2 linked regions of the Styela clava genome follow. The protein of the gene in region 2 purifies or fractionates together with the protein of the main gene of each other region. This does not show direct contact. Links are inferred from orthologs where the notes say so. Each region holds a gene or a part of one and is shown on either strand. Other genes may lie near its edges. The genes, in order: coiled-coil domain-containing protein 97-like and splicing factor 3B subunit 6-like.

Evidence for each region.
Region 1: the proteins of splicing factor 3B subunit 6-like (region 2) and coiled-coil domain-containing protein 97-like purify together in Homo sapiens (affinity purification with mass spectrometry; 3 studies listed by BioGRID and IntAct, counting the BioPlex papers as one, with this or other methods). This does not show direct contact. The link is inferred for Styela clava from reciprocal best matches to the Homo sapiens genes SF3B6 and CCDC97.

The regions. Positions count from the first base shown.
Region 1 is NC_135257.1:17,898,739-17,914,420, reverse strand, and holds coiled-coil domain-containing protein 97-like, read right to left. Parts: upstream 7,526-15,682; 5' UTR 7,439-7,525; coding exon 7,387-7,438; intron 6,823-7,386; coding exon 6,420-6,822; intron 5,101-6,419; coding exon 4,928-5,100; intron 4,126-4,927; coding exon 4,029-4,125; intron 3,322-4,028; coding exon 3,138-3,321; 3' UTR 2,083-3,137; coding exon of another isoform or gene 2,019-2,082; 3' UTR 1,776-2,018; downstream 1-1,775. Other genes in the region: cytochrome b-c1 complex subunit 6, mitochondrial-like, read right to left, coding at 7,937-8,230; mediator of RNA polymerase II transcription subunit 18-like, read right to left, coding at 2,019-2,082. UniProt on the Homo sapiens protein: May play a role pre-mRNA splicing through the association with the splicing factor SF3B complex which is involved in branch-site recognition.
Region 2 is NC_135263.1:10,170,460-10,187,137, forward strand, and holds splicing factor 3B subunit 6-like, read right to left. Parts: upstream 6,748-16,678; 5' UTR 6,634-6,747; coding exon 6,604-6,633; intron 5,627-6,603; coding exon 5,508-5,626; intron 5,277-5,507; coding exon 5,138-5,276; intron 4,695-5,137; coding exon 4,605-4,694; 3' UTR 4,118-4,604; downstream 1-4,117. Other genes in the region: 2-hydroxyacyl-CoA lyase 1-like, read left to right, coding at 7,198-7,251, 7,387-7,537, 8,338-8,486, 8,664-8,836, 9,375-9,623, 9,708-9,776, 10,204-10,324, 10,571-10,684 and 4 more; ubiquitin conjugation factor E4 A-like, read right to left, coding at 13,016-16,258.

The sequences.
Region 1 (15,682 bases), on a different chromosome or scaffold from region 2:
TGTGTAATCATAGTATGTTATAGAAAAATATAACTTTAAGAATTAAAAAATTATGCAAAATTAGAGCTTGTTTGGGTAAATGTTCCATAAACATTAAATGAAAAACACATGAAGATTTTTTTAATTTATCTTTTTAGCCTGTATATGATTTTTATTTCATTGTTTTATATTGTTCTTTCTTGCAAGTTACAAAATAAATGATGACGGTAATCTATGTCCTTTATTGAAACTTTTCATAGTTGGCAACCCTAGGTGGGGGCTCCCAGTTGGGAATCATTTTTATCGAGAAAGAAAGTTGGTCGGCTAGATCACATGGTGAATGAAGACCGTCGTTTGCGACGAGACTGGCCGACTCCAATGTTCCAGAGTGACGGGATATGTTCCGATCACGATTGCCAATACAGAACTTTTAAAACAGAATCTAGTTGAGTTTAGGTTTTTAAAAAGTCACATTTCATGATACGCTGTACTGTTAGGCATGTAAAATGGTCCCGTTGCAATTCCAATTCTGCGTCAGCATTTTTGGTTAAAGGATACATTTGGTCAAGCACTCTTGTGATTGCAAAATTTACCTCCAATCCAGGCAAAAATTACACCCAAATTAGGTACTCCCGTAGTACGTGTACCGTACTAGGTTAGGCCAAAGTTTATTATAATTTTTCCTATTTCTATTACGAATTCGGGGACTGTTTGTGCCAGTCAAGTTAATATACCCTCTGCCCATAGGCTTCCGTCCATTTACACAACTTAAGGTATAGTAGGCGTACAAATTAACCCTAACCTTAATTGTAGGGTTGACAGAATTATGATATTAGATAAAACAACGAAAGTGGTGTTGCCAAAATTAATGGTGACATCATAACGTAAAGGGCAACGCTAGACTAGATAATAAGCAGGGTGCACCCTTCCAAAGCCTGAACCTTACGCCGAAGTGTTTAGAATCCCGATCTTGTTCACCATATTGGCTTTCTTCTCCCCCGGGACAAATATATAAATCCTATTCTATACATAAATTTAACTATAACTTTTAGATCGGTGGTTTCCAAACGGTGGGCGTCGACCATTTTTTGAGGGGGCGTGAACCTAATTAAAAATATTTGCCCTTATTTTGGATATTTACATTTCGGTGCTACAGCAGCATGGGCACCAAGATGTCGCACAGCCTGAATACTAACCGGTACACAAATACTATGTTCAGGTTGTGCGCCTTTTGGAGGTCCTACATTTCTTTGTTTAAACTAGGGATTGAAGAGAGCTGTTGTGCTTGTACCTTTAGTATCCGTTTCATACCGTATTTTCAACGTGTTTTTTGAATGAAACTTACTTTCGCCTTACCATCTGTCATTTGTAGCTTATTGTTAGCTAGTTATTTTTGAGGTGGGGCGCGAGACTTGACAAACTCTAAAAAGGGGACATAGCTTTACGTTTGAGAACCACAGTTTTAGAATATTATTAGAAATTGTAATTTAATAATGAGAAATATAAATCTTTACAAGGTGAAAAGGGTAGATTTTATCAAGTTTCAGGTTATGCGAAACTAGAAATGTGAAAAATAATTTAGATGGTCAAGGGCTGGAGCCACTAAAATTTCTGTTAGCTACGGCTCCAATCTGGCATGTTGAGCTTGGCTCCACCAAAACGTCACAGCTCTATGTGCCCCAATAAAGTTTAAAACAAGTGTCAATGTGACTCATATTTATCCACTTTACTGTTCTTTATCAAATCTACCACTTGACTTGGTCTCTCGATAGCAGTTTCCAGACTCTGGACACGTATAGGGACTTTGACACAACTGTATTGTAGCATGGAATTGCCAATGCACTCAGTGCTGCGCCTCCCCTTGTAAACGGAAGGCACGGTGACCTGATGGATCAATCAAAACTTGAGGTAATTTTGACTTGACTCACGACTATGATGGGGAATTTCACTTGAAGACCCCGGGGGGATTTGAGACTTTTTATACAACTCTTATCCACAACGTACAACCGATAACTAAAAATATGATGGAGGTGCTACCTTCAGAGCAGAGGTCGAGAACCCATAGCCCGCGAGCCATATAACCAACCCCTTATTTGCCAAGGGCATATGGCTCCCAGAAATATCCAACATTCTAAGGCTAAGCTTACTATTGTTACCAGATTTCTCCTTTTTAGCCAATTTTGACAACACGTTGCAGAGCGAGCGCTTAGCGCATGGGAAAGAAACTAGGGGATTCTGGAACATATTTTGTGATATCACGAAGCGATAGAGTCGCGGGGCAATAATGGAATGAGAATAACGGTCAGAGATCGAAGACTTACCGATCGAAAGTTAGGGGATCCCCCAAAACAGTGCTCTTACTCCATAGTGACACCTTGTGTCCCACTACTAATTAATACCTCGCTAATTATACAACATAATTCATCCAAAATCTATAGGCTTCTGGTCCGACATGTGATGAATGCACATGCAAAATATGGAGCAGATTCAATCTCGCTTTCGTGAGATATCGCGTGCATCTAACAGACAGACAAACAAACAGATAAATACCTATTAACATACTGATTAAAATCGATAAGTAATAAGTATTCCGTCAGTTTGTACTGTTTATTTGTAAAATTTAGATTGGGCCAGCAAAACTAATTTTTAAAGCACTACGGTGATGCCCAAAAGAAAGAAAGGTGATGAGTAACGTGGATTTCAACTTGTGCTGCATGTGAGCAGTCACAAGGCCCTCGGCGACAATATGCAGCACCAGATTGTATACAGTATCGACATTGTATGTGTTGACTTTTGAGTAAAAATTTAAGACACGATTAGGTGATGAAAATGTCATACGGCTCGCACCAAAAAGCAATTGAAAATATGCACCTTTCATGGCTCTCTTGCCCAAAAAGGTTCCCGACCCCTGCTTTAGAGGAACCAGAATCTTTCAGTTCGGCCACATCTACCCAATTTATTACACCTTGGGTTAGGTTATGAGCATGGTATTTGAACCAGGGACACGTAACCTGCGATGGATGTGACGTTAAGTCTTATGCTTTCAACTGCTCCACTACGCATATCGCTCACTTTTATCGCGACTGTACTGTATGCACCATAGCATGGTGATAGCGCTTTGTGGGTTTCTCACTTTTCCAACACATAACTTCGAAACCTTATCCATTACCCGAAGAATCTATCGTCTTCATATATCTATCTAGTTCATCTTCTGAATCTTCAGCACCTTGATCAACTTCTCCAGGAAGATTCAACGATGGTTCCTCCTGATCGAAATAATCGTCTTCAACATCACGTTCAATCTGATGAAAATCATCATAATCTGTGTTCATGTCAACATCCCTGTTGAAATAAAGACTTAATGAACACAGTATAACCCAAGGGTGGGCAAGGATTTTCGACCCGGGGCCACGAATTTTGTCCGCCCAAACTGAAGGGCCATGTGGGTGTGACGCAAAAATTTACACTTTATGAACAATATTTACAGTGTCGCAAGAGCAAAACTGGAAAACCATAATTCTCGTGCCAAAACTAAATTTAATCGCATTCTCAACAAATTCCTTGAGTTAAAACATCAAAATTTGGTTTTAGTTTGGTTGTGGCAGCATCGAGCGAGCCAGTTTGAATTACCCAACGGCCGTGTTTGGCCCCATGTCAGGTATAACCCCTTGTTTCCCAACCTGGGAGGAAGTATTCGAAGAAGAAAATCCGCTTTTTATTTGCTGAGTATTTTTTCATTATTTCTATAATAATTAATTATGAACACATTATAAACTACTATAATTCAATGTATAATAAAAGGGGGATGAGGGAACATGTGGGCGAGGTGTTGACTTGCATATTCCACTAGCTAAAGATCTATTAAAGATGGAATAAAATTAACATAATATTATCAGACTTGAAAAGGCATCAGGTCCATCGCCTGGCAGTCCCATGGTATCGCTATCTCAAACAAGGCAGAGCTTGACACCTGTGTTCGAGTAAGTCAGGATTATGTAATATTGCAGATATGATGAACCAAACTCCACTTTCGATGTAAAAATACGTACTCATATGAGAAATTTTTATCCATTCCACTGAGAAAACTCTCGTACATTCTGGATTTAAATTCTTCAGCTAAAAACTCCTTCTCTTCTTCGGAAATATCTATGAAAAGAATGATTAAAGGAAATAGGATATGGCAGAATTTAAATTTTGTTCCGAAAAAAAAACTATCTGACTAACGTGGTCAATCATATCACAACCTAGTACTAACAACCGCTCGTACTAGCACTGATAATTGTCCAGGTGTCATAATATAGTATTTGTTGGACAATTCAAAAAAGTCATTCTATTGCATCGTTTCAGTGATGAACGAAGACCTAACCAAACCTAACCTAAACTCTGTGAACAGGTCAACCAATTTTGGGTCCAGTCAAACTCTCACAAATGTATTTCTGCAAGGTTTCATCCGAATGAGATCAGTACATTTGTGTTAGTACGAGGTAACTTTCTTGAATCAAATGAAATTCTTATTCATATTGAATACAATTATTATCAACTTTCCTCTCCTCCGGGATAAATATGCAAATCCTATCCCATCCTAATTTGAAGAAGTTTACCGCGGCGCTGTGGTGTGGCTCATCGTGCTAAGCGTTGGGAATACTCTCATCACCGCACCTCTAATTACTTTGCGTGGATTCACATGTTGGAATCCCATGCGTGAATAGTTATGTTCGAGAGGATTGGTTAACTCCTAGCCGCCGTAGGGTGATTCACGTAACCACTGGTCGGTAACGGCTTTCTCCACCATCAAGTCCATGCTTCCGAAAACAAATAACTAACTGATCCCATACCTGACTTTGACTGATAACAGGACGAGAGGCCGTGGTTCAAGATATGATTAAGTCATGTTACCATCTTCCTCTCCCTGGGATGAATATGTAATTCCTATCCTGAAGAAATTTACCTGGCACACGTTCCTCCTCTTCTTCACTGTCATCATCAAATTCCTCATCTTGATTCTCATCCTCTTTGTCCCATTTCTTCTCAATAACATCCATGAAGAATCCAGAAAGTGTGGTTGGATGGGCAGCAGCTCTTGCACTCATTCTTTCCTCTTTTTCTTCTGCCGATAGAAACCTAGTGAGAAAAGAAGATAGATGGAATGCCACACTAAAACTAAAGCTAAAGCTAATGTCATATTTTTCAGTTATGGACTTTTTTCGATATCTTGTGATTATAGGCCTGTTTTTTTTTTTGGGGGGGATTTCTGACAGAATATTGGTAAAGAAAGATGAGATAACCAAGTTTTATTACCTGTTTTAGTTTTGAATTCAGGGTATGCCGAATGTCAAATTTTAAGTTTGTACAGATCTGGAAATTGAAAAAAAAAAAATTTTCTCATAACTTTAAAATGTGATACAAGCTGTACTCGATTACAAATAGAGAAATATCTTTATCATTAAAAAAAATGGTATCAATGACCTCAAACGGTCCCCAAGCAGTGTTGTTAAACGGTATTGTATTATTAACCTAGTCAAAGTGCTAATAATTAGATTTCTGTGGGACCAACTACCGTAGTCATACCTCTACAATGATCTTGCACAGGTGGATCCGTAAGCATATAATGCAAGGAGGCCAAAGACAGAGAAAAAATATATTTGTGTTGCTTTGTTATGTACAGCAAGACTCTTGGATTACTTGGCTTAAAATAATTGTCAAAGTGCGACTGTATACATTTGTGTTAGAGTGTAACAGAACTTAACCTGCTACACTCCAAAGAAAATAACTTGCCATTGCCAGTATAAATTTGCTTTCATCACTTGAACATTTATCTTAAAGTTTATTCTATTCAATAAAAGGCAATCACACTATTGCACAGGGGTTCCTCCAGTCTCTGTAATGTTGCATTGGTGTTCTTCTCCACCAAAAAAGTTGAAAGCCACTGCAATATACCAGTGTTTCTCAACATATGGGTCGTGACCCGAAACTGGGTTGCCTAAAAAATTTCCTGGGTAGTTCGCTTTTTTCAATAAAAAACTGAAAGTTACTAATTTTATTTTATAGTAAATTTGATTGTTTATTGTAGATTTGGTATTTAAGTGTTTCTCAATAGTAATTGCATGCGTGGGCAGTATCACTGCATAAAATCTTGACATTCAATTTGCTTTAGTAAAGCCATGCATCGATTCCATGCTGATGACAAACACACACAGTTTCCTCACTTCAAAATAATTTTTGGAGGAATAGGTGTTATATCAAAATGATTGTTTCATGATAATATTCATTTAATTTTGGCCATAAAAGTACTGAACGTTTAGTATTTGAGCATATCCTTGGGCCGGAAGACCCAAAAATCTATTTATTCGAATACTTGCGTCACTTAAAAAAAAGTTTGAGAACCACTGCACTAGACAATATCACAGATTCAGGACTAATGAGCAATGAAATAAACAAACCTTCCTATGTAATGTTGATAAAGCTTCGGATTTCTTTTACTCATTTCTTCCTCATTAAAATATTCTCCTTCTTTAATCATTTGTTGCATAGCTTGATATCGACGATTTTTAACTTCATGTGAAATATAATGACTGTCAAGTTCTGTTCTTGCTTTTAGATCTTGTTTGTGACAAATCTGCCGGATGTAATAACAGACTTGCTCATTTTCTGGTAAAGAATTGAAGCAGGAAATTTCATTTGGCTTTATATGTTCATAGTATCTTTGCAAGAACCTCATGGGGCTTTGTTCGAAATGTTTTTGAAGTTCATCATATTTTTTCTCAGCAGTGAGAATTCCTTTGTCTTCAATCACCTCGGGAGTTGTTCCAACTTTCTTAATCGGTAAGAAAACTTCATCCAAACCTTGATAATAACAAAAGATAAAATCAATTTATTATATTTAAACAAATTATATCCCATGATAGCAATTCAAAAACTCTTATTTTTAAATTGGGGTTCAATTCATGATATTCATATAGTAAAAAAAAATTTATAATAAACTTCAATTAAACTTTTAATAGCAAAATAGCAATTTTTTTCAATAAAAAATATTCAGGTTTTCGAAGAGCGTATGACATTGGCATATATTATCGCAATGCTTGAAGCCAAAAGCCTATATTACATGTAATAAATGTTATTTCATCCTATTTTTTTGTTTAAGTTAAATCCTGTGCGACAAAGTGAGATCGCTCATGTAGTACTTTTATGTTTCGTGCTTAAACATCATTTGAAGTTTTGGCAATCTCTCTAAATCATTGGCTTGTTTGTTATCAATTTCTGCGGCATTGCGGTGTTCAAACTGGACTATTTAGCTATCTTTTGATGACACAAATACTCTGCAAACATTTTTCATATAGTAATATCTTAGAAATTCCATCAAAACACAATTGTTTAGACATTTCTGCTTGTGGAGTATGAATTACTCACCTGCTAGTCTTTTACATAAACATTCAATGCTATTTTTCTCATCCATGATCATCAAAATACATCCACAATTTAGGGCTTGATTTCAAGTCGAACCATCAAAATCACATCAGAATAAAATGAAAAATTTGCAGCACAAAATTCCTCAGAATTTCATGAGTGTTAAAGCTGCAAATATATCTATACTATAGACAGTCGCAGCCAGTCCTACAGTGTCTGGGTGTTGTGATAAACTAGTAAATAAAGAATCAACATTTAGTATTACGGCATTTGTCAGTTTGGATAAAGATTTTAACCTTTGAAACCATACAAACTAATTAAATTTAGCATTGAAAATTGAGCAATACAATCGCTGATAAATCACAAAACTTTATTCAAATATAGAAAACCAAATATAAATTAATTCTGAAATTCAGTAATTCTGTAATTGGTGATAACATTTTCAACAAATTTGCCACATACAGAATAATTAAATTTATAACTTGTTCTAAACTTTAATGCTAAACAAACAATACCAAAACACAGTTTCACACTTTTAAAGTTGGCCTAAAAGTTATTTCAGCATGGAAAACAATCTATCAGCCACGCAATGGTCTGCACAATGCAGAAAATCAAAAAGTTCTTGGACGCAATCTTCTTCCGTTTGACTCCGGCTATTCACTCGATCCTCGCATCGAACTAACTCTTCTCTATAGGGCGAGCACTCCGGAATGTTATTGCAAGTTTCCTTAACTGCGTCCATTGGGTCAACTAAGTCTTCCTCTTCTTCTTCGTCGTCGTCATCTTCCTCGTCTTCAGGATCTTCGGGATCGTCGTTGGCGTAAATTTTCTGTTCTTCAAGAGTCATTTTTGCAGTTTCTTGAAATTCAGTTCTAACGAAACGACGAAGTTTTAGTTCCGAGCAATGAACTCAAAAAAAAAATCGAACCAAACCAGCAATCAGAACGTTAAATCCAGACCAACGACCTCTGTGAAGCTAGCAGCAAAACACGAAATTGTTACTGACAGAATCGCAGAAAATACCCACGCGTAAAATTAAATGTTCCCAATGATTTTTATAAGAAAGTGTATATTTTGATTATTTTCACAATAGCAATTAAAGCAAAACAATCATTAACTACACTCCTCGTATTGTTAATATATGGTAAACAAGCTAAAGCGACTGTTACAGTGCACAAAATTTTTTTATAATTCTTTGAGAGATGTTTAAAAATGACTGAATTTTCGTCGTGTAACATGGTCGTTTCATGAAAACCTCCAATAAAGGCAGCATTGCAACACCATTGGTGAAAAGTAGAAACCTCAAAGATTCGATTTCAATATGTCAGAACAGTCTCAGCACGTTTTGACTTGACCATATATAATACTAAACATAGCGTATATTCTTCAATTTTTAAAACAATGTATATACAACAAATTTGAAACTGATTTTGTATTTCAATTAAAATTACTGGATAGTTCATCAAAGAAGATATTTTTCTCTTTGTCACACAACAATAATGCACTTCATTAAACTTAGAATAAGTTGAGTAAAGTCTGAAATACTGAAAAAAAATTTACGCCCTCTTGTGGATTGTTTAATAAATTTCACAAAGTTATCGTTTTCGAAAGGGCAGTTTCTCAAAAACCGCCAATAAATGCAGCACTACGACACATTCGAAGAAAAGCAGATACCCTATAGATTCGATTTTAATATGTCAGAACAGTAGCAGCACGTTTTGACTTGGCCAAATATAATTCCAAACATAGCGTATATTTTTAATTTCATTGAAAAAATGTAGATGTGACATATTTAAAAACGGTTTGGTATTTCAACTAAATTTACTGGAAAATTCATCAAATACTTTCTTCTCTTGGGTATACAACAAAACTGTACGTTTATTAAACTTGGAATTAGTGTGCAAATGTTAAAATGCCAAAAAATGATTTGACGCCCTCTTGTGGATCCTTTTCGGAATTTCGAAAAATTATCGTTTTTGAAAAGGGCGATTTCTCAAAAACCGCCAATAAAGGCAGCACTACGACACATTCGGAGTAAAGCAGATACCTAATAGATTTTATTTTATTATGTCAGAACAGTAGCAGCACGTTTTGACTTGGTCATATATAATACCAAACATAGCGTGTATTCAAACTTTTATAAACAATGCAGACGTAACATATTTAAAAACAGTTTGGTATTTCAAATAAATTTCCTAGATAATTTATCAAACATCTTTTTCTCTTGGACATACATATATACTATACGTTCATTAAACTTGGAATAAGTTGCGGAAAGTATAAAATACCAAAAAGCATTTTACGTCCTCTTGTGGATTTTTTTCAAAATTTCAAAAAATTATCGTAATTGAAATAGCGATTTCTCGGAAACCGCCAATAAAGGCAGCGCTACGACACATTTGGAGAGAAGCAGATACCTTATAGATTCGATTTTAATAAGTCAGAACAGTAGCAGCACGTTTTGAGTTGGCCATATATAATACCAAACATAGCGTATAATTTTTAATTTCATCAACCATGTATATGTAACATATTTAAAAAAGGTTAGGTATTTCAACTTAATTTACTGGATAATTCATCAAACACTTTTCTCTCTTGGTCATACATCAAAACTGTATGTTCATTAAACTTGGAATTATTGTGCAAATCCTATAATGCCAAAAAATGATTTGACGCCCTCTTGTGGATTATTTTCGTAATTTCGAAAAATTATCGTTTTTGAAAAAGCGATTTCTCAAAAACCGCCAATAAAGGCATCACTACGACACATTCGGAGTAAAGCAGATACCTTATAGATTTGATTTCATTATGTCAGAACAGTAGCAGCACGTTTTGACTTGGCCATATATAATACCAAACATAGCGTATATTCAAACTTTTATAAACAATGCAGACGTAACATATTTAAAAACGGTTTGATATTTCAACTAAATTTTCTAGATAATTTATCAAACATCTTTTTCTCTTTGACATACATATATACTATTCGTTCAATAAACTTGGGAAAAGTTACGGAAAGTATAAAATACCAAAAAGCATTTTACGTCCTCTTGTGGATTATTTTCAAAATTTCAAAAAATTATCGTTTTTGAAAAGGCGATTTCTCAAAAACCGCCAATAAAGGCATCACTACGACACATTCGGAGTAAAGCAGATACCTTATAGATTTGATTTCATTATGTCAGAACAGTAGCAGCACGTTTTGACTTGGTCATATATAATACCAAACATAGCGTGTATTTAAACTTTTATAAAAAATGCAGACGTAACATATTTAAAAACGGTTTGATATTTCAACTAAATTTTCTAGATAATTTATCAAACATCTTTTTCTCTTGGACATATATATATACTATTCGGTCATTAAACTTGGAAAAAGGTTGCGGAAAGTATAAAATACCAAAAAGCATTTTACGTCCTCTTGTGGATTACTTTCAAAATTCCAAAAAATTATGGTAATTGAAATAGCGATTTCTCGAAAACCGCCAATAAAGGCAGCACTACGACACATTCGGAGTAAAGCAGATACCTAATAGATTTGATTTTATCATGTCAGAACAGTAGCAGCACGTTTTGACTCGGCCATATATAATACCAAACATAGCGTGTATTCAAACTTTTATAAACAATGCAGTCGTAAAATATTTAAAAACGGTTTGGTATTTCAAATAAATTTCCTAAATAATTTATCAAACATCTTTTTCTCTTGGACATACATATATACTATACGTTCATTAAACTTGGAATAAGTTGCGGAAAGTATAAAATACCAAAAAGCATTTTACGTCCTCTTGTGGATTTTTTTCAAAATTTCAAAAAATTATCGTAATTGAAATAGCGATTTCTCGGAAACCGCCAATAAAGGCAGCACTACGACACATTTGGAGAGAAGCAGATACCTTATAGATTCGATTTTAATAAGTCAGAACAGTAGCAGCACGTTTTGACTTGGTCATATATAATACCAAACATAGCGTGTATTCAAACTTTTATAAACAATGCAGACGTAACATATTTAAAAACAGTTTGGTATTTCAAATAAATTTCCTAGATAATTTATCAAACATCTTTTTCTCTTGGACATACATATATACTATACGTTCATTAAACTTGGAATAAGTTGCGGAAAGTATAAAATACCAAAAAGCATTTTACGTCCTCTTGTGGATTTTTTTCAAAATTTCAAAAAATTATCGTAATTGAAATAGCGATTTCTCGGAAACCGCCAATAAAGGCAGCACTACGACACATTTGGAGAGAAGCAGATACCTTATAGATTCGATTTTAATAAGTCAGAACAGTAGCAGCACGTTTTGAGTTGGCCATATATAATACCAAACATAGCGTATAATTTTTAATTTCATCAACCATGTATATGTAACATATTTAAAAAAGGTTAGGTATTTCAACTTAATTTACTGGATAATTCATCAAACACTTTTCTCTCTTGGTCATACATCAAAACTGTATGTTCATTAAACTTGGAATTATTGTGCAAATCCTATAATGCCAAAAAATGATTTGACGCCCTCTTGTGGATTATTTTCGTAATTTCGAAAAATTATCGTTTTTGAAAAAGCGATTTCTCAAAAACCGCCAATAAAGGCATCACTACGACACATTCGGAGTAAAGCAGATACCTTATAGATTTGATTTCATTATGTCAGAACAGTAGCAGCACGTTTTGACTTCGCCATATATAATACCAAACATAGCGTGTATTCAAACTTTTATAAACAATGCAGACGTAACATATTTAAAAACGGTTTGGTATTTCAACAAAATCTATGGAGTATCTGCTTTTCTTCGAATGTGTCGTAGTGCTGCCTTTATTGGCGGTTTTGTGGAAATCGCCACTCCAAAAACGGTATGTTCGAGATATTAAACAAAATTACTATGGGGCGTAAGTCATTTTTTTGTTGTTTTATACAATTTGCAACTTATTCCAAGTTTAATGAACGTTCAAAAGATGTTTGATGAATTATCCTGTAAATTTAGGTAAAATACAAAATCTTTTTACAATATGTTACGTGTACATTGTTTATAAAATTGTAAATACACGTTATATTTGGTATTATATATGGCCAAGTAAAAACGTGCTGCTGTTGTTCTGACATAATGAAATGAAATCTATATGGTATTTTCTTTCCTCCGAATGTGTCGTAGTGATGCCTTTATTGGCGGTTTTTGAGAAATCGCCCTTTTAAAAACGATATTTTTTCAAAACTTCAAAAAAACACCACAAGAGAGCGTCAAATCATTTTTTGTTATTTTAGGATTCGCCGTCTTATTCCAAGTTTAATGAACATACAGTTTTGATGTATGACCAAGAGAGAAAAGTGTTTGGTGAATTATCCAGTAAATTAAGTTGAAATACCTAACCGTTTTTAAATATGTTACATCTACATAGTTGATAAAATTATATATGGCCAAGTCAAAACGTGCTGCTACTGTTCTGACATAATAAAATCGAATCTATAAGGTATCTGCTTTTCTCCGAATGTGTCGTAGTGCTGCCTTTATTGGCGGTTTTTGAGAAATCGCTATTTCAAAAACGATAATTTTTCGAAAATTTGAAAATAATCAACAAGAAGGCGAAACATGATTTTCCGTTATTTCATACTTTCCGCAACTCATTCCAAGTTCAATGGAGGTACAGTATATATGTATGTCCAAAAGAAAAAGATGTTTGATAAATTATCTAGGAAATTTAGTTGAAATACCAAACCGTTTTTAAATATGTTACGTCTGCATTGTTTATAAAAGTTTGAATACACGCTATGTTTGGTATTATATATGGCCGAGTCAAAACGTGCTGCTACTGTTCTGACACAATGAAAACAAATCTATAAGGTATCTGCTTTACTCCGACTGTGTCGTAGTGCTGCCTTTATTGGCGGTTTTTGAGAAATCGCCCTTTCAAAAACGATAATTTTTCGAAATTCCGAAAAGGATCCACAAGAGCGCGTCAATCATTTTTTGGCATTTTAAGATTTGCACACTAATTCCAAGTTTAATGAACGTACAGTTTTGTTGTATACCCAAGAGAAGAAAGTATTTGATGAATTTTCCAGTAAATTTAGTTGAAATACTTAACCGTTTTTAAATATGTTACATATACATAGTTGATAAAATTGAAAATGATATGCTATGTTTAGTATTAAATATGGCCAGATCAAAACGTGCTGCTACTGTTCTGGTTTGGTGAAATCGAATCTTTAACGTATCTGCTATTCTCCAAAAGTGTCGTATTGCTGCCTTTATTGGCCATTGTCCGAGAAATCGTCACTCCAAAAACGGCATGCTTGGGAAATTGAAAAATTATATATAGGTTGTAAGACATTTTTCACTTTTTCATACAATTTGCATCTTATTCCAAGTTTAATTAACACACAGTATCGGTGTTTGAAAAAGTAAGAAAACGGAATATTACGATATTAGGTGAGTTTATTTGAAATACCAAACCTTTTCAAAATATGTGAACATCTACGCTATTCAAATATTTGAGATATACGCTATGTTTGGTATTATAAATGGCCAAGTCAAAACGTGCTGCTACTGTTATGGTATAGTGAAGTCGAATCTAAAAGGTATTTGCTTTTTTCCGAATGTGTCGTAGTGCTGCCTTTATTGGCGGTTTTCGGGAAATCGCCCTTTCAAAAACGATTATTTTTCGGAATTCAGAAAAGAACCCATTATAGAGAGCGTAAAATGTTTTATTTTTATTTTAAACTTTCCCAATTAATTCTTAGTTTAATAAACGTACAGTATTCATTTGTGACAAAGAGAAAAATATATTTGATCAATTTTCCAGCAGCTTCAGTTGAAATACAAATCCCTATTAAATTTGTTACGTCGACAATGTTTATAAAACTGAGAATACACGCTATTTTGGTATTATATGTAGCCGAGTCAAAACATGCTGCCACTGTTTTGTTATAGTGAAATCAAATCTATAGGGTATATACTTTTTCCGAATGTGTCGTAGTGCTGCCTTTATTGGCGGTTTTCGAGAAATTCCCCTTCCAAAATCGATAATTTTTCGAAATTTTGAAAAGAATCCACGAGAGGGCGTAAAATATTTTTTTGGTATTTTATACTTTTCTTCTGCAACTCATTCTAAGTTTAATAGACGTACAGTATTAATGTGTGACAAAGAGAAAAATATATATTTTATCAATTGTTCAGCAAATTTAGTTGACATACAATTCCTTTTTAAATTTGTTTCGTCCACATTGTTCATAAAATTGAAGAGTATACGCTATGTTTGGTATTATATATGGCAAAGTCAAAACGTTCTGCTACCGTTCTGACATAATAAAATTGAATCTATAAGGTATGTGCTTTTCTCTGAATGTGTCGTGATGCTGCCTTTATTGGCGGTTTTTGAGAAATCACTAATCCAAAAACGATAATTTTCGAAATTCTCAAACTAATTCAAGGGGGTGCGCAAAATTTTTATTATTACTTTATACTTTCTGAAACTTATTCTAACTTTAATAGACGTACAGTATTGATGTGCGACAAAGAGAAAAAGATATTTGATCAATTATCCTGCAACTTTAGTTGAAATACAAACCCTTTTTTAATATGTTACGTACCTTTGTTTTAAAAATCGAGGAATATACGCTATTTTTGGTATTATATATGGCCAAGTCAAAACGTGCTGCTACTGTTCTGGCATAATAAAATCGAATCTATAATGTATGTGCTTTTATCCGAATATGTCGTAGTGCTGCCTTTATTGGCGGTTTTTGAAAAATCGCCATTTTAAAAACGATAATTTTTTGTAATCCAGGACAGAATCCACTAGGAGTCGCAAATGATTTTTTGCTGTTTTCTACTTCCCGCAACGTATTCCAAGTTTAAAAGATGTACAGTATTAATGTGTGACAAAAAGAAAATGATATTTTTTAACCATTATCTAGCAAATTTAGTTGAAATACAAAATCAATTTTAAATTTGTTACGTCCATGCCGTTATTAAAATTTAGATTACACGATATGTTTGGTAATATATATGGTCAAGCCAAAACGTACTGCTACTGTTCTGTTATAGAAAAATTGAATTTATATGGTATCTGCTTTTCTCCAAATGTGTCGTGGTGCTGCCTTTATTGGCGGTTTTCGAGGAATCGAGGTTCCGAAAAGGATAATTTTCCGAAACTTTGTATTTGCGGAATACCTGAAAATTCATTTTTCGCTTAGTTAGTCTTTTTTTGAACACTATTTTCTTGTTAAATTTAATGTATTCATTCAGTTTAAAGATTTTTCATCTATTTTCGTGACAATATTTTATT
Region 2 (16,678 bases):
CGTCGGCGGAAGAAATAGGCGTCGTCAAAATGATGTCCAGAAATTTTGCAGACGCCGCAAAGGTAGTTACTAGAGTGTTATCTATGAGGAACCCATAGAGCGCGCAAGTTGATGTGATGTTCAAAAAAGTTTGATTGGTGTATATACATCGCAATTCATTTTCCAATTTAGCCACGTTTATCATGGGGTAAAATTTGGAGACAGTAGCCAATAAATGGATGGGAAATTGACGTGCAAATTTTGCAAAATTTTTGGGGTTCATCAAAGAGAACGCGGCAGGGTGTTCAGTGCGCAGACGATCGTCTATTTGATTCACCAGAATGTCACAGCATTCCTTTGCAGACAAAATCAAACGCTGCGTTGTTTGCCCGCGGCGTAAAGAAGCACTCCATGTGTCGTCGTATTTTATTGTTTCCCGGATACGAGATACAGCATCGCAGAAGTCTGAAATACACGACTGCACAGACGCTCCATCCATTAGCCTTGACTGCAATGCGCCGTATAATACATCCACGTGATAGAATATTGTGGAGAAAAAAGCGAGAAAAAATGAAAACTCACCATCTTCTAGCAGACGCTTTAGACCTGCCGCCTCCCTCACAGAGCAGAGCGTTCGTCCCAAACCGGAGAGCTCTGAATGCCATTGAAACACTCAATGAGCTCAGACCTAATTTCGGACGCGCCCTGCACCACGCGTGATTGGAAGTTCCAACGTGTTGGTGCACAAGCTGGGAGACGGCAGCTACATATCTGGCGAAGGAGGTCAGAGCGCTTCGGCGAAACGGAAAAAATGAAGAAAACCCCGAAACATTTGCAAAAAATATACGGACGAGAGGGGGATCAAGACACATATTTTTAATAACGAGGTTAAATTGGTGTGCAAACAATGTAAAAAATGCGCATGAGGAAAATCTTCTTTTATATAAACTTGAACACCATGTTTCGACCCACTCATGACTGCCGCGCCGTCATAAGTTTGAGCTATCAATTTTGACTTCGCGTTGTAAGGCTGTAACACTTCTTTCAGTACAGCCGATATCCCGCAAGCCGTGCGATCAACGATTGGTACAAAGCTGTAAAATCTTTCGGTAGGTTTACCATCTTTCACAAACCGAAAAATCACAGCCAGTTGAGAAACGCACGTGATGTCAGTTGTCTCGTCAGACTGAATCGAAAGGAACTGGCAATTCTCAATTTCCAGAGCCAAATGTTGTAAATAAATTTTATACATTGAGTCGAGCAAATCATTTTGGATATCCTTAGATGTCCCTTTCGAAACACTTGCGGCATCAAGATGATCGATCTCTCAATACTGTATCTAGGGATGCGGTGTATTCCACCATATCCAAAAATACCCCTCTATTAGAAGAGCCAGCCCGTTCATCGTGCCCACGGAAGGACAGCTCGTGACAACCAATGAACTTCAAAACATCTATCAATCGACCGAGAACATGGCGGTTTTTCTCGACGTTTTGGTTGTGCCGACGAATAAAAATGGCGCGTCCTTCATCCAACTGTGCTGCAATATTAACATTTCCGAATGTTCGGTATTTTACTGCATTGTCCAGATGCTCCATAGAAGATTGATGATCCCTGGCACGCTCGGAAAGATGTTTAAGATCTCTAAAACCAAATTTACACCAACGTGAGTCACGAGCGGTAGCAAAAAGTAGGCAATAAAAACAAAAAAGTGCATTTTTGTCCTCGCTGTAACACAACCATTCGTGTTTTTTATACCAAGTTTCTGCGCAGAATGTACGCCGACGCTTTCCTCCGTCATGGGATTGTTCCAGTGAACAATTTTTTGGTTGATAAAGCCCAAGACGTTGTACCTCTAATTTTTGTTCCAGCGGCAGCTGCGAAAACGGAGTGCGAAGTAGTGCATCAACCTTATTCATTATGAGGTCTAAGGCAAAGAAATGCGAAGCCGGAAAGAAGTGAGGAGCTCAAAAGGAATGTGGAAAATCGAAAGCAAATGGACTAAAGGTCTCTAACTGATTCAAATAGCGAAACAAGCGACAAAAACGAAGGCGAGGAAACTATCAACTCTTCAAGCAACCAACGAACGAGAAGGAATGCGTGAATATGTCAACACGTTGTTGTAAGAAACGTCGGCATTGTGTCGTCATAATTTCGGGGCTAGCCCCGATCGGCCCCGATGATTTAGTAAAAGAAACAGAAAACAAACGAGACAAACGCGGCGAGTGGAAGATAAAAGAGAGAATACGATATACAATGAGCAACGGGGGCAAAATCGGCGTCGCCCCGTCGACGTTCGGCGAAGGCTTTGCGAGCGAAAAATGAACCATGTCGGGAGAATATGGCTAGTGTAGACAGTCTGTGCAACCGATATTGAGGTATTTTTCGAATATTTTTTTATTATACCGAAAAAACACCCGGGGCATTGCCCCGGTTGGCCCTATTGACGTGCCGCCACTGAATGTTATATTGGGGGTGTCCCGTGATAGATCAAATGACGACGAACTCGACGGCTAAAATATTTGGAAAACCATCACTGATTTCTAACAATTTTCACCAATAGGATTGAACAATCATATTTCGTTTTTCCTGCTAGTGCGACTTCAGTGATGCTGTTGTAGCGGGCAGGCTACATAAGAATAGTAGGATAGTTAGGATAAGGATAAGAAAAAAGATTTACATATCTATCCCGGGGATGCCATGTCGGGTATGGGATTAGTTTTATTGTTTGTCTTCGGAAGCATGGACTTGGTGGTGGAGTAAGCCGTAACCGACCAGCGGTTACGTTAACCCCCAACGACGGCGAGGAGTCCAGCGATCCTCTCACACATAACCATCCCTGCATGGGATTCGGACCTGCGAACCCACGCAGAGTAATTAGAGGTGCGGTGGCGAGCGTGTCCCTTACGCTTAGCCCGTTGAGCCACACCGCCGCGCCTGTGTATTCTAGTATTCTTCACCACATATTGTTAATAGTGCATGTTATTTGCCTGAAACAAGATCGTTGCTCTAATTCATTCCCTTTATGATATATTTTCCTTCGCTCAGTGCTGCTCGTGTTTATCGTGCGCATTGTTAGTTAGAAATTTGGTTTCATCATATATATTGGGGTTAAGGTTTTAAGTGTATTTCGTTATCTGTTATTTGGATTGTGCATCTAAATATACGAACATTTAGCATTCAATCTATTGTGTGCTTATTGACCTCTGAAGGAGTCAGTTGGGGTTTTACTCCGCTAACGTGTGTTTAATAACAGGGGGGTAAGAACGCGCAGATAGGGTCAACAGTCCCCTATACTGTAATAGGTATCCCTAACCCCTTAATGAGGATGTCCCCATGATAGATCAAATGGCGACGATCTATGGAGCTAAAATACGTGGAAAAACACTATTGACGAAGTGTCTAGTTTCGTGTTTTTGAACATCTTTAATCTTTCTTAATTTAGGGTACATGCTATAACTTGCTCACATGCTCAACCCGTGATAATAAGGTAACAATTGGCAGTAACTAGAGCGCAAGAAGCTAAACACTTGAAGTATTAAACGTACTGTATTAGTATTCATTTACGTTTCACCGTTAAACTATTGCACTAAAAGTCGGCGGGCCATTTTTAATCGTTACAAGTGCCGTAATTAACCCGCGGTTTGGGAACCCCAGGTTCAGGGGCATAACTTGTGTAATTTTTTTAGCTTCCTTTTAATCAGTATTAAGTTAGATCGTTTGTGAGCATTTCTGAGAATAAATAATGTGACCGTCTTTGTTCGTTTTGCCACATTTTGCGCCCTCCAGCAGCGTGCCGCCCGTGGATTTATCTACAAGATCCAATGGGTAGCTACGTCACTGCATCCAAACCTTTATTTAGAAGCCCATTTAGTACCTCGACGTAATAGCAGTTCAATTAGCCTGTAACACGAGCTGCGGTAATTTTATTGGTGGCGAGTTCCCAATTTCATCTACTAAAACGATAAATCCAACTTCCGTGAATAGGTGAGCGGTCAAAAACTGTAATATGCAAAGGTTACCTGTCAATAACCTTCATAAACAGTTCTCTCAGCAGCTAAATAAGCACCCATAAAGTAACCTGGTAGGCACATTCTGATACATTACTACAACTATATACAAACATTTGAAGTAAATGTAGATGATATAAACAATGTATTTACAAAAAGCGCTCCATTGAAATGGAAGCTGTAGGGTACCCACATTTTTGTAACAATATTGAGAAAGTATGAAAAGTGCCATAAGCAAATATTGAGAAGACAAAATTGGCAAATTTATAAGTTTTCAAAGAGTGGGGGTTGCAAGCGCGAAAATAACTTTGGATTAATTCTAGAATTAGATCTGACAAACTTCAAAAATTTTTTTTGTGACATAGCGTTTAACCTTGATTTGCGCTATTTTCACGAAAAGTGAGCGAATTGTATGCCTGTTCCATGATTGAAAATGTCTACACAAAAACAATGACGAGTTGTTTGATGGTGAAATTCTAGACAATTTTGCAGTATATACCAAAGTGGATAAATTTCAGTTTCTAGTCACAGATCCAACTGCCAATACTTTGTCATCCAATAAACACACTGCCTCTCCGGTAAAAAATTAAAAACAAAAGGAAAGCCATCTTGGATTCACTTTTTGTCGTCTGTGCTTACACCAAATTTAGCTTTCATCTTTTCCAAATTTTCTTGCTTCTTTTTAGCATCTTGTTTCTTGAATGTCTGAAAGTGTGTAATTGAACCAAATGTCACTTTTATAATTGGAAAACATTGCAATATAATAATATACATGATCCCAATATAATTGAACTAAATAAATTTGTTCACTGTTCTAATGCAAATGTTGGGTGATTTTATCTATATATTAAATATGCAATATAATATTTAAAGTGGAATGAGTTAATGACTAATAGTTTAAAGGCTAATATAATAAGTAGCAGATTAGAATAAATGAGATATCTGAAAGGTGACACAATCATAAATGATTCAGATATTAGTTCCCTTGCGACAATCTTACGTGAATGTAAAAATAAAGATAAAGTCAGTTCTTCAACCAATGTCATCATTGGTTAAATAAAACCAAACCATATTAAATTAAAAATTATATTATAAAGAATAATATGGATTCATGCTCGATTTCTGGAAGCCAAACGTGGAACACGTACCCTGTTTGGATTGTAATATAAAACTACAAGATATCTGTTGCAAACATTGAAACCAGATAAATGATCACAGGCATTCTTTGCATCAAATATATCTTCATATACAATATATGCAGTTCCCTTTGACTCAGCTGTAGTTCCCCTGTAATGAACAATAAAATAAATAGTCAGTACATTGAATGTTGAAGGGAATAGAAAAGAGAAGTTTTTAATTGTGACGTAATGGGCTGAGATCAATTCCTTGAAATGAACAACAATTACCTTAAGTAAAGCTTAGTGTTCCACACTACATCGGACATAACCATCCTTGGCCAAATATTTAGATTCTTTTTATCTCAATAAATGTATATTTTCAATAAAAATGATATCTTACATTCGTATTTGTCTGATTGCACCGTACTTTCCGAATATATCATACATTTCTTCAGCTGTGATTTTGTATGGTAAATTCCTGACATATAAAATTCTGTTAACTTCTGGTGGAAGTCTCACCTGAAATATAAAAAATATTATATAACAATTGTCATGAAATGGAGTTTTTGTTAATCAAAAATTAAAAAAATTTCAAATTAATATATTATAATTTTGAAAACAGTCATTTACACAAAGTATTCATAAAAATGAATAAAATTTGAAATTGTTGACAACAACGTGCTGATATTTATTTTCTACCTTAGGTGTGGGTCTTGTAAAACTGAAAATTATAGACATGAATGTTATTAGCCGCTATAAATTATAGAATCAACAGAAAAAAGAAGATATTCTTGTGGAGGTAAGAAGGAATACAGAAGGTCGATGTTAAAATTAAAACAGAGTTAACAGCACATTCGATAAATATTATTAAAATTGGTTTAAATATCCATTTGTGTTTGATGAAGCACTCGAAAAAGTTCTAGGGTAAAAAAAAATATTTTAGGTACGGTACCCGTATTTATAGTAATAGGCAGGCATACACAGCTATGCAATTTCATGTCAGTGTGAAAGTGCAATAGATTAAGATATAAAACTGCTTTGGCAGTTTGGTAACGATGGCAGACTTTCAAAATCACAAATTTAGTAGGCTAGTGTCCGAGGGTCGATAAATTATTATTTACTAATTTTACAATTGAATTTATTCATGAGAATTATTACAGTTAATTGATATAGGCTACGGTACCTTAACTTAATTCTGATGTGATAATTCTGTCATAATTCAGTAATTTAAATTCTTTTTGATGACATGGCACTTACTTCAACATTCAACAAAACTAGAATTACAAAACTTTAAAATCTGGAGTGATTGATGAAGTTGCAGTGGAGCTTATTCCAGTCATTTATTACAGACCCCACAGCTGAATGGTAAGTTAGGTCTGTAGGTACGGACACGGTACCGTACTGGTACCGGTATGTATTTCATTATAATTCGCGACGTCTTACGAAAACTATCATATAAAAACTAAAGCAAAATCATTTACAATTTAAAAACTTACATTAGCTCGCCTTGCCGCTTGCATAGCCATCTTGAAATTCAGATATTTGGAATAAACCAGCGAAAACACCTCTGTGAAGCCGAACAACAGACAAGAAATCGTCAAATAGTATTTATGTATAGAAAGATCCTACGCGTAAAATAGGAATGTTCCCATTTAAAACAATCTATTTCAATAGTGCTATAATATGACGCAATAACGCTGGGGAAACGTAACAAGAACGATTCGCGGATGCCCAATGCTGTTAAAAAGTGTCATAAGTTTTACCATTATGTTGTGGTCATTTTGATCATAATTGCCTTCCGTGGATATCGATATTCTAATGGGCAGCTTGTTTTTATAAATGCGTCGATTTGAATCTAATTTTTCCTTTAAACACAGTTGGTAAGATGCCATTTCTAATCTGTTGCCCAATGCTCAACAGGCTTTGTTTGCGCTTAACATCAATTTATTTGCTTGCTCATATTCTCGCTAGCTACTGCGCTTGATATAGTTTTCTCTGTAGTACTGAGTAGGGTTCCAGTAACAAGGCGTCCTGCAATCAATAATTCGGTGTTCTGCAATCTATTTTGGATTTGAAAGAAAATTTAGATCATGGACGATGATATCACAGGGGCCCAAACCTTGGCGGAAAGTCTGAAAGCACAAGTATGTATATGTGGGTTATTTATGCCAATGTCAGAATGTGTTGCATTCTACAGAAATAACAATACAGCAATATGTTAACAATTCTAGCGGTATGTCCAACATATTTACTGTGATATTTTCATGATTTTTTCGCAGGGAATCAAATACATGTTTGGAGTGGTTGGAATTCCTGTCATAGAGGTTGCAATTGCAGCACAGGCAGTCGGCATTCAATACATTGGAATGAGAAATGAACAAGCTGCTGCATATGCTGCTGGTGCTATTGGATATTTGACTGGACGGCCAGGTTCCCTTTTGATCTGATTGTTCAAATTGTTTATCAGTTTTCTGTGGCATGTTTGATCCAGTTTTTCAAAATTTTTGAGAACCAAATTTATTTTATTCCTTATCCATTTGAGTACTTTCAGATCCTTGTACTGCTTATTATTTCACAATTGAATGCATCTAAACAGATAATAATTTTGCTTTGAAAAGGTGGAATATTTATTGTGTGGATGGTACTTTTAAGATAAGGCATAGAAATATCATATTTTTACTGGAAATGTTCAACATTTTCAGTTCAAATAAAAGTTGCTGAAGCATGGAAAATATGCTTCTATTTACTACAGGAGTGGTGACTCCTCTACGGCCCATGGGCCGGGGCCACGGCCCATCTAATTGGGCCACATGGGCCGTGGCCCATAGCTTGATGGGCCGCGGCCCCATCAGGAAAAATTCAATTATCTTAACAAAATTTTCAATTTTTACCAAATTGTCGATATTCGAACCAAAAAAATATACTCCTGTAGTATGTGTACCAGGTTAGGGTTAGGACAAAAAAAATTCAGATTTTTTACATTATAGTTCTATTATGAGTTCGGGGACTGTCTGTGTTAGCCAAGTGAATAGTTTCTTTACACAACTTGATGGGCCGTGGCCCCGGCCCATGGGCCGCAGAGGAGTCACCACTCCCACTCTCTATTTAAGAATTCTAGAAAAATTAGCTATTAACCATAATTTTAACTCAAGCTCAGCGGAGAGAGAGTGGTGAAGAATTATTTGAATTTTTTATGCGCACTGATATTAATGATTTTCTGTAATTCACAGGTGTATGTCTGGTTGTGTCAGGGCCTGGTCTGATACACGCTTTAGGTGGAATGGCAAACGCTCAAGAAAACTGCTGGCCCATGATTACTGTTGGAGGTTCATCTGATCAAGATCAGGAACAGATGGGGGCATTTCAAGAATTTGCCCAGGTATATTAGGGGTTATCATAACAAGGTTATGTCACCATTTTTATAAGTCTAAATTTATAGCTATACTTGTATTTGTCTATGGATTTTGTTTCCTTATAATACGGATTTGGGACTTCAGAATGATTAGGCCTATTCAGTTATATACAGTATATATTTACCCCAATTTATCATCTCCAGGTAGAAGCAAGTCGGATGTATACCAAATTTTCTGCTAGACCATCTAGTCTTGAAGCAATACCATTGGTTGTTGAGAAAGCTGTTAGAACATCTATATATGGAAGACCTGGTGCTTGTTATATTGATATTCCTGGCAATTTTGTAAATGCTTCAGTGAGAAGGGGTGATTGTAGGTAAGCTTCACCAAATTTCTGATTGTTATACATCAGTGTGTAGTAACCTGAAATGAATATTTTCAAGTAAATTATTTTATGGACCATGCCTTCTGTATTGGAGAATTTTCAAGTTATCAGTTTTGGAAATACTCCAACCAAGTCACCGAAGTAGCAAAAAATTGCATTGAAGATAATTTCACACATTCATAGATGCCTTCCTAAAATATTGAAAAATTGACTAGCTTGTTTCTGCAATATGTCAAAATATGGCTGCATTGATACCGAGACAAATATTGTCAATAGATTAATGAATTCTAGTTTGATTTTCACAATGACATTTATTTCATATCTCCATGCCAATGAGGGGCATATTTATCTATATCATTGTTTTTATGAAATCTATTTCAACTCGAAACAGCAGTGACCCAACATGATTTGTGAATCGGGAGGGCAGTAAGTATCAGCTTGATTTGAGACTGATGACTTACTGCTCGCAACTTGGAGATTTAGCAACATTCATTAAATACTGATATTTATGCTTATTTATTATATTCAGACAGTTTCCAATGTGCCCAAATCCATCAGGCTTGAAAGCTGATTTGAATGTTATGAAGAAAGCATGTCAGACATTGATGATTGCTAAAAGACCATTGGTTATCATAGGCAAGGGGGCAGCCTACTCCAGATCTGAAAAAGAAGTGCTGGAATTTGTGGAGAAGCATTCGTTGCCCTTTTTGCCTACACCTATGGGAAAGGGTGTGATACGTGATGACCATCCATTATGTGTATCTGCTGCGAGGTCTAGGTAAGTTACCTCCAATTATTTGATTTTTCAATGGAATGATAGCAAACGAAATTATACAAAATGAAAATATTGGAATATTTCCAGGGCTCTTCAGATGGCAGACTGTATACTGTTGATTGGTGCAAGATTGAACTGGCAACTTCATTTTGGAAGGTAACTATTGTTTATTTTTCAAAATTGACCAACGTTTTTTGGTAGCGCAACCAAAGCACTAACAACAGCTGCAGAAAATTTATTTATTGCAGTAGTGAAACTAGACTTTCCGGCAGTGAGTTATATATAACCTGTCTATCTGCGTACAATTTTTACAAAAAAACGCCTAAAAGCACAATTTAATAATACAGATATTGCTTACATATGCTTCTCTAGACATACATCACAAAATAATAATTTGATTTCATTTTGTCACACTACTGAGTAACAATCCTGTTTCAAAATATATAGAAATTAATAGAATAATACGGTTTTTGCACAAATGCTCCCTGATGTGCCCAAATTGTTCAACTGTCATTACTTTCCAGTTGCCCGTAATTTTTGTTCATCAACCAAATTTGTATCCATAAGTACTGTCATATTTTAGGCCTCCGCGATTTGATGAATATGTAAAAGTGATTCAGATTGATATCTGTGCTGAAGAATTGGGGAATAATGTTCCAAGCAGTATTGGCATCCATGGCAATATATCAGATGTGGTTAAACAGGTATGTTGAAATTTATATATACATATATGCTGAAACTCATGTTCGCATAATACAAATAGCATCGGCGAATTTACTTTCTAGACACATTTTTAAGCATTTGAATTGCTATCCATTAGTTGTGATTTTTTATATCTCACCAAGCAAAGGCTGATGAGTATGTGACGTTTTTATCAGAGATTATTAGTATATCCGTGAATATCATTTGTCATTCAAATTAACTGTTTCTATTTTTTTTTGAAAATTTAGATGCAGCAACACTTTGTTGGAATTCACAGAGGTATCATGTGGAAACATCCAACTGATTCTAAGTGGTGGGAAGCTTTGAACGAGAAAATTGAGAAAAATGATGAGCAAGTTAAGGTATAACAATTAATCGTAATTTAATTCAGATAAATTTTGTAAATGGAATGAATTGTTTGTTATTCATGTTTATGTTGATTGATAGTTTTTTGTAATATATCTTACTTTTTCTTTGTAGGCGATGTGTGCGGATCATTCCGTACCGCTCAGCTACTATGCCGTTTATGATATATTGAACAAGTACTTGCCTAAAGATAGCATCATTATTGGGGAAGGAGCAAATACTATGGACATTGGAAGAACTATGATGAAAAACTATTACCCAAGACATAGGTTTGGAATGATTATTAGACTGTTTTGTACAAGGCAATTGTCTTGTATTGTAATAATACCATAAAATTGATTCAACATATGATTTCTCATAGGCTTGATGCTGGTACTTTTGGAACAATGGGAGTAGGGGTTGGCTTTGCAATTGCAGCTGCTTTATATGCTCAAGATTCTGCAAAACCAGGACAAAAACCTCAAAAAGTGGTAAGCTAGTTTCTTTGGTTTCTCGCGGCTTCCCATCCCCAGTAAAAATGTGTGGTGAATTTTATTTATTTTTCAATTTCGGAAAAAAATAAAATTGACTAGGACTTAGTGAAGGTTGAATTAATTTTTATTACTTTATTTCATTACTTCTTGACGACACAGTGCCAGAATCTAGTAGTTTGGCATTTTGCCTGGTAATCATTGATGAAGGGAAAAAATTATTTTCATTGAAATGTTTGAATGAATTTTAAAATTGAAGAATTAATTCTGGGGTATTCTATATAGGATAGTGTTTGGAATGTAACAGCAAGCAATATAGTGTATTCAACAAATGCATGAAAAGGGACAATTAGTGTCAACTTCAACCATACAAGAATTGTATGGGAATTGTCATGAACTCTGAATTGATATTTACTATTTAGGTATGTGTACAAGGTGACAGTGCTTTTGGATTTTCTGGAATGGAATTAGAGACTGTAGTACGATACAAACTTCCCATTATTTTTGTGGTTGTCAACAACAACGGTATTTACAGTGGTGGACCTAAAATGTTCTGGGATGGACTAAAAACAACAGAAGATGTTGCAACTGGGTAGGTGTATTGGTTTCTTGATGAAATAAAATGAACTGGCTAGATTGGTCTTGACTTGGATGAAAATCAATTCACATTTTCTCTCAATAAATTTTTTACTGAATTTCTTGAACATCTATAATTTAATTGTTAATTTTTACTTTGGTTAGGTCACTTCCGATGTTCTTGACTCCAAATTCTCGTTATGAGCAGATAATGAGTGCTTTCGGAGGAATTGGCTACTATGCAGAAACACCCGATAACTTTGATCAAGCCCTTAACAATGCTTTCAACAAACATGCTGATAATGGGGAGCCCTGTCTAACCAATGTTATGATCGATTTGACTTCTGAGCGAAAGCAGCAAGAATTTCAATGGCTTACAAGAAGTAAAATGTGAACCTAACGGCTGTCAACCAAGTCATGAATAATTCCAATTTAATTTTTTGTTTTAATATACAGAAGTGTTTATCATCTCTTCTATGCAATTGATATTAATTTTAAATCTGCGTTTCCTATTAAATCCTATTTATTATCATTGCAAGTGATATTATCTTTGTAAAGGGGGGGCATTACCACCTGTAGGGCTGAAACAACAACCGTTGATACGGGTGCGACTGCAAGGTATAATTTGGCGTTTTTGGTTGTTTTGCTGTTGTATAGACATTACGATAATAGCATGCATGCAAAAACGCGATTCATTTAAATACCTAGAGCTAGTTTGCCTTTCCAAATTTTTTTTTTACCAGAGCAGTGTTTTCTTGAAGGGTAAATAATTCACAGCTGTCTTGCCTTTCCTTAATAGGCCTGACTAAATATTTCACTAATCTTCTACACAAGCATCAATATATAGGCCCAAAAAATGTTCTAAAACAAAGGAAGAAACCAGGCCTGCCTCAAAACTGGTGATTGATATTTAGTAGCGATTTGAGCTAGAACCAAAAGGTATCTTGAATACCATGATACATACAACACTGTGAAACTTCAGAATGACTATATTTAAAGAAGATGAGAATGAATGTATACTTTCTAAATATTATTTACATAATTTGATGATGGTTCAGGTATAAACGGTCGATGTCGATTGTTTGGTATATTCCCATCATTGTACAGCAATTTGTACAAATATACATAAGCGAATCCTATATTTCAGCGAATTGAATTTGTACAATCTTATACTTGACCCAGTTCACTGTATGATTGAGTCACCACCTACCATGGATAAAGGAAAATTATACACACAACACAATTGCATAGCGGCAGTAGCCATAAAATATGGTATTGGAACTAGCTATCAGATTCATCAAGTTTTTTCTTCCTCTTCTCTTCAATCCAGAGCGTGATTTTATTTTTCAACTCTGTGTTTGGGATAACATCTTGCATTGTAAGAGAAGATCTGTTAAATGGGTCAGTGGGATCACTCATCAGATGTCTTGATATAGTAGATCTGTCTACAACCTGTTTTGATGTTGGTAAAGTCACAGGATCACGCATTAATGTTGACATTAAGGCATCAAAAAATTCATCAGGAGCATCCATAAACATCTCTTCTTCTTCCTCCTCTTGACTGCTAAAGAGTTTGACGCGTTCAGATATTTCCATCATTTTCTGTCGTAACTCTTCATTACCGATACGTCTAAGAACTTGACAGGCCATTGGAAATAACTTATTAGAATATGACCTACCATCTTTTGATATAGCATGGCAAAAATCATCTTTTACGCAAAGGTGGACATATATTTGGCATAAGTCCACTACAAGTACTTTTGGTTTGAACTGGTATTTGGAAAGATCTCGTACCCTTAGCGCACCCATTTTCGGCCCAACTAATTTTAACAAAAAGTCATCAAGCATGGCAGCTACTCTATCAGCCAGAGATGGATGACTAAAAAGTTCTTTGACTTCTTTGGCTTCTGTGAGATAAACCAAGGTGTCTAAAGTGTCATTTGATAATAAATTGTGATATTTTGCCAGCATTCCTAACTGTCTCAACTCCCCTTCTTTTTGCATTTTTTCCTGTTGATTCAATTCTTCCCATTCGCCTGCTGCTTTCTCACGTTCAAGGCCTTTTATTTGTGTCAAGAACCCCATGGCTTCATCCAATAAATAAATAGAATCATTGAGAAGCAGGTTCGTAAATTGCAAAAACAAAGGATGCGAAACCTCATCAATATTACTGATAGCCAATCTTACATGCTTCTTGATCATGTCATTACAAGATTTCTTCTGCCATAGATATTTTAGGATTTGATACAAGGGTTGCCTATAGTGAAACTTTTGCTCAAATTGATTTGGATCGCCAGTAAACTCTATGTCGACAAAAAGCTGAAGAGTAGCAACAGTTAAAAATGGAGAATGTGGGAAAGCATTGAAAATTTCTTCTTTGTTGCTTTTTGAATTATCATCTTCAGATAAAGGCATTACAATTGGTAACACTTCAGCAAGAGAGGCACGCAAATGTGGATTTGACATTCTACTTTTATTTCCCATGTAAATCGTAATAACAAGAAGAATGTCATGGATAAATGGGTTAAACAAGTGCGCCGATGAACGATCGAACCTCCAAATAAACAATAGCATATCGGTAAGGTTTTCCACAACATATTCAGGAATGCAGTAAAGACCTTTAGGCACAGTTTCGCCCTCAGGAAGGGGTAGAACAACTCGTGCCAGTGTATCATTGTTGTCTGACATGGCAATATGATTCAAGTATTGTGCTGTTGTACCATGAAGTCGAATGCACGCTTTGAGAAAAGCGGGCTCAGTTAACACTCCTTTTATACTCAAATAATTACGCATACCCGTCTCGAACCTTTTGACAACAAGAGCTGCGTGTCCATTTGGATCTTGTCCAGAAGCACGAATCTGACGATAAACATCTTCATCACGATTTAAACTTCGATTCAACTTATAAAATTTTTTGATAAGGCCATGGACACTGAGATAAATTGAACGGTGTGTTAAGAAAAAGCACTCTGTGATAAAATTATACGAGTCAGCTATAGTTACTGGCGCTGGTGTATTGTCTTCAGTTGATTGCAACCGGGTATCCTTGTGTAATTGAACGCCATGTACACCCTTGGCATGGGCATCAGGCTGTCCCGTGACATCAATATATGATGAATTAATTTTTAAAAACTTGGGAGGTGTTGATTTCGAGGACCCCTCTTCAATACCTTTTACAACAGTTTTTTCTGAGCAAAAGGGCAAACAAAGACGAAGTAATACGCTGCTAATATTAAGTTGTGTCGCATCTGGACCAAACACATCCATAAAAACATCGACGTGTTCGTGCGACCACATTTTTGCAAGATAACCATGATGAGCAATGGTATTACCAAACCACTGCAAAGTCTTAGAACGGGTAGACTTGTGTTTCAGAAACTGTCTAATAATAGAAAACAGTTGAGAATGGAACCCATCTGTTTTATTCTGAAGATGATATTCCTCATTTTCGACCTCAGTTGGACCCATCCTCGCAACATCTTCAAAAAACAAATACGCTTTTGTTTGTGGATCTGGAACAAGACACGACTTTCCGAATAAAATGTCAAGAAAACTTTTCTTTTGTGTTCCTTCCATAACCAACTTTCCATCTATTTTAGCATCATGATTCAAAGTAACAACTGCTAAGCCAGGATGCTCAGCGAACGTTGACAAAACAGCAAGATGAACGTGTAATCCGGCATCTAATAAATCATCAAGGCCGAGATCATTTGCAAGAACTTCCAGCAATGGTGCAAAAGCGGCTTCCATCAGATCAGGCTCATTCATTGAGAAATAATCAGCAACACTATACAAGCAAAGTCTAGGAGGGCTTGTGGGATCCGAACAATCATTCGATACAAGCATATTATAAAACTGTTGGTGAACCATTCCTTTTTCTTTTCCAATTTCCATAAATAATTCTGGGCTAATAAACGCAGTTGATATATTTCGAACAATCAGTTGACGATAAAATGATATTGTCGATAAAAGATTTGGTGGAATATATTTTTCTTCATGCATTAATCTGTTGAAAGATTGCAATAAATAAACAAGAGGACGATCCTCTTTTGCCTCCTTTTCTGTAGTTTCATTATGTTCTTCTGATCGCTTCACGAGAGATTTTTCAGGGTCTATTAACAAAAGACGGTTGAAGATGAGCTGTTCGACTGTTTCATGCAATGGACCACTTTCATCATTATCCAGTAAAACGCAGAAAGAAGGCAAATCTCTTTTCACTTCCTCACTGGTATTAAGGTGCTGATTATCAGTCAAAAGAAAAATTCTTTCCGCTAAATCATTTTTATGTTGGTTCAACTTTGAGTTCGATAATTCACTTGGAAAAGTCATTTGAGTGACATCTTGAGATTCTTTTTCGCTTTCGATGACTTGTCCCGGCAAATCAATTCCGCTTTCATCAATATGTGAATCAGTTTGAGTTGATAGTTTTGGAACCTCCATAGGTTCATTGCAAGAATTAGCTAGTAAAGCTGCAAATGGGTTGCTTTGCATTTCAGCATTACTACTGCTTGCTCTATTATCCATGCTATTTTTATATTACAGTATAATAATAACTAACAGGGGCTATTCATTAAAAAAGAAATAAAGATTGGCAATAATCATAAATAGTTCCGCAATTTATTTCAATATAATATATAATGGTGGGAAGATAGTTTTGTAAAATTCATACACCTTAGTTTCTTAGAGTAGAACATTTTCCTTATAATCGACATAATAAGATCATAAGAACAAATCACAAGACTTTTGAAGCAAATCATAGTACAATGGGTCAAAAATAACACTGAAGTAAGGTTCTGTTCCATTTCAAAAATAGATCATGAATTTGCCTATACAACAGGATTTTTTAATTCGGTAACACCATTTAACTATGTCGCTGTCCATGGCCTTTCGGCCATGTCAACTGAAAACTGAAGAAAGACAGTATTTCAAAATGAGCTGTTACTT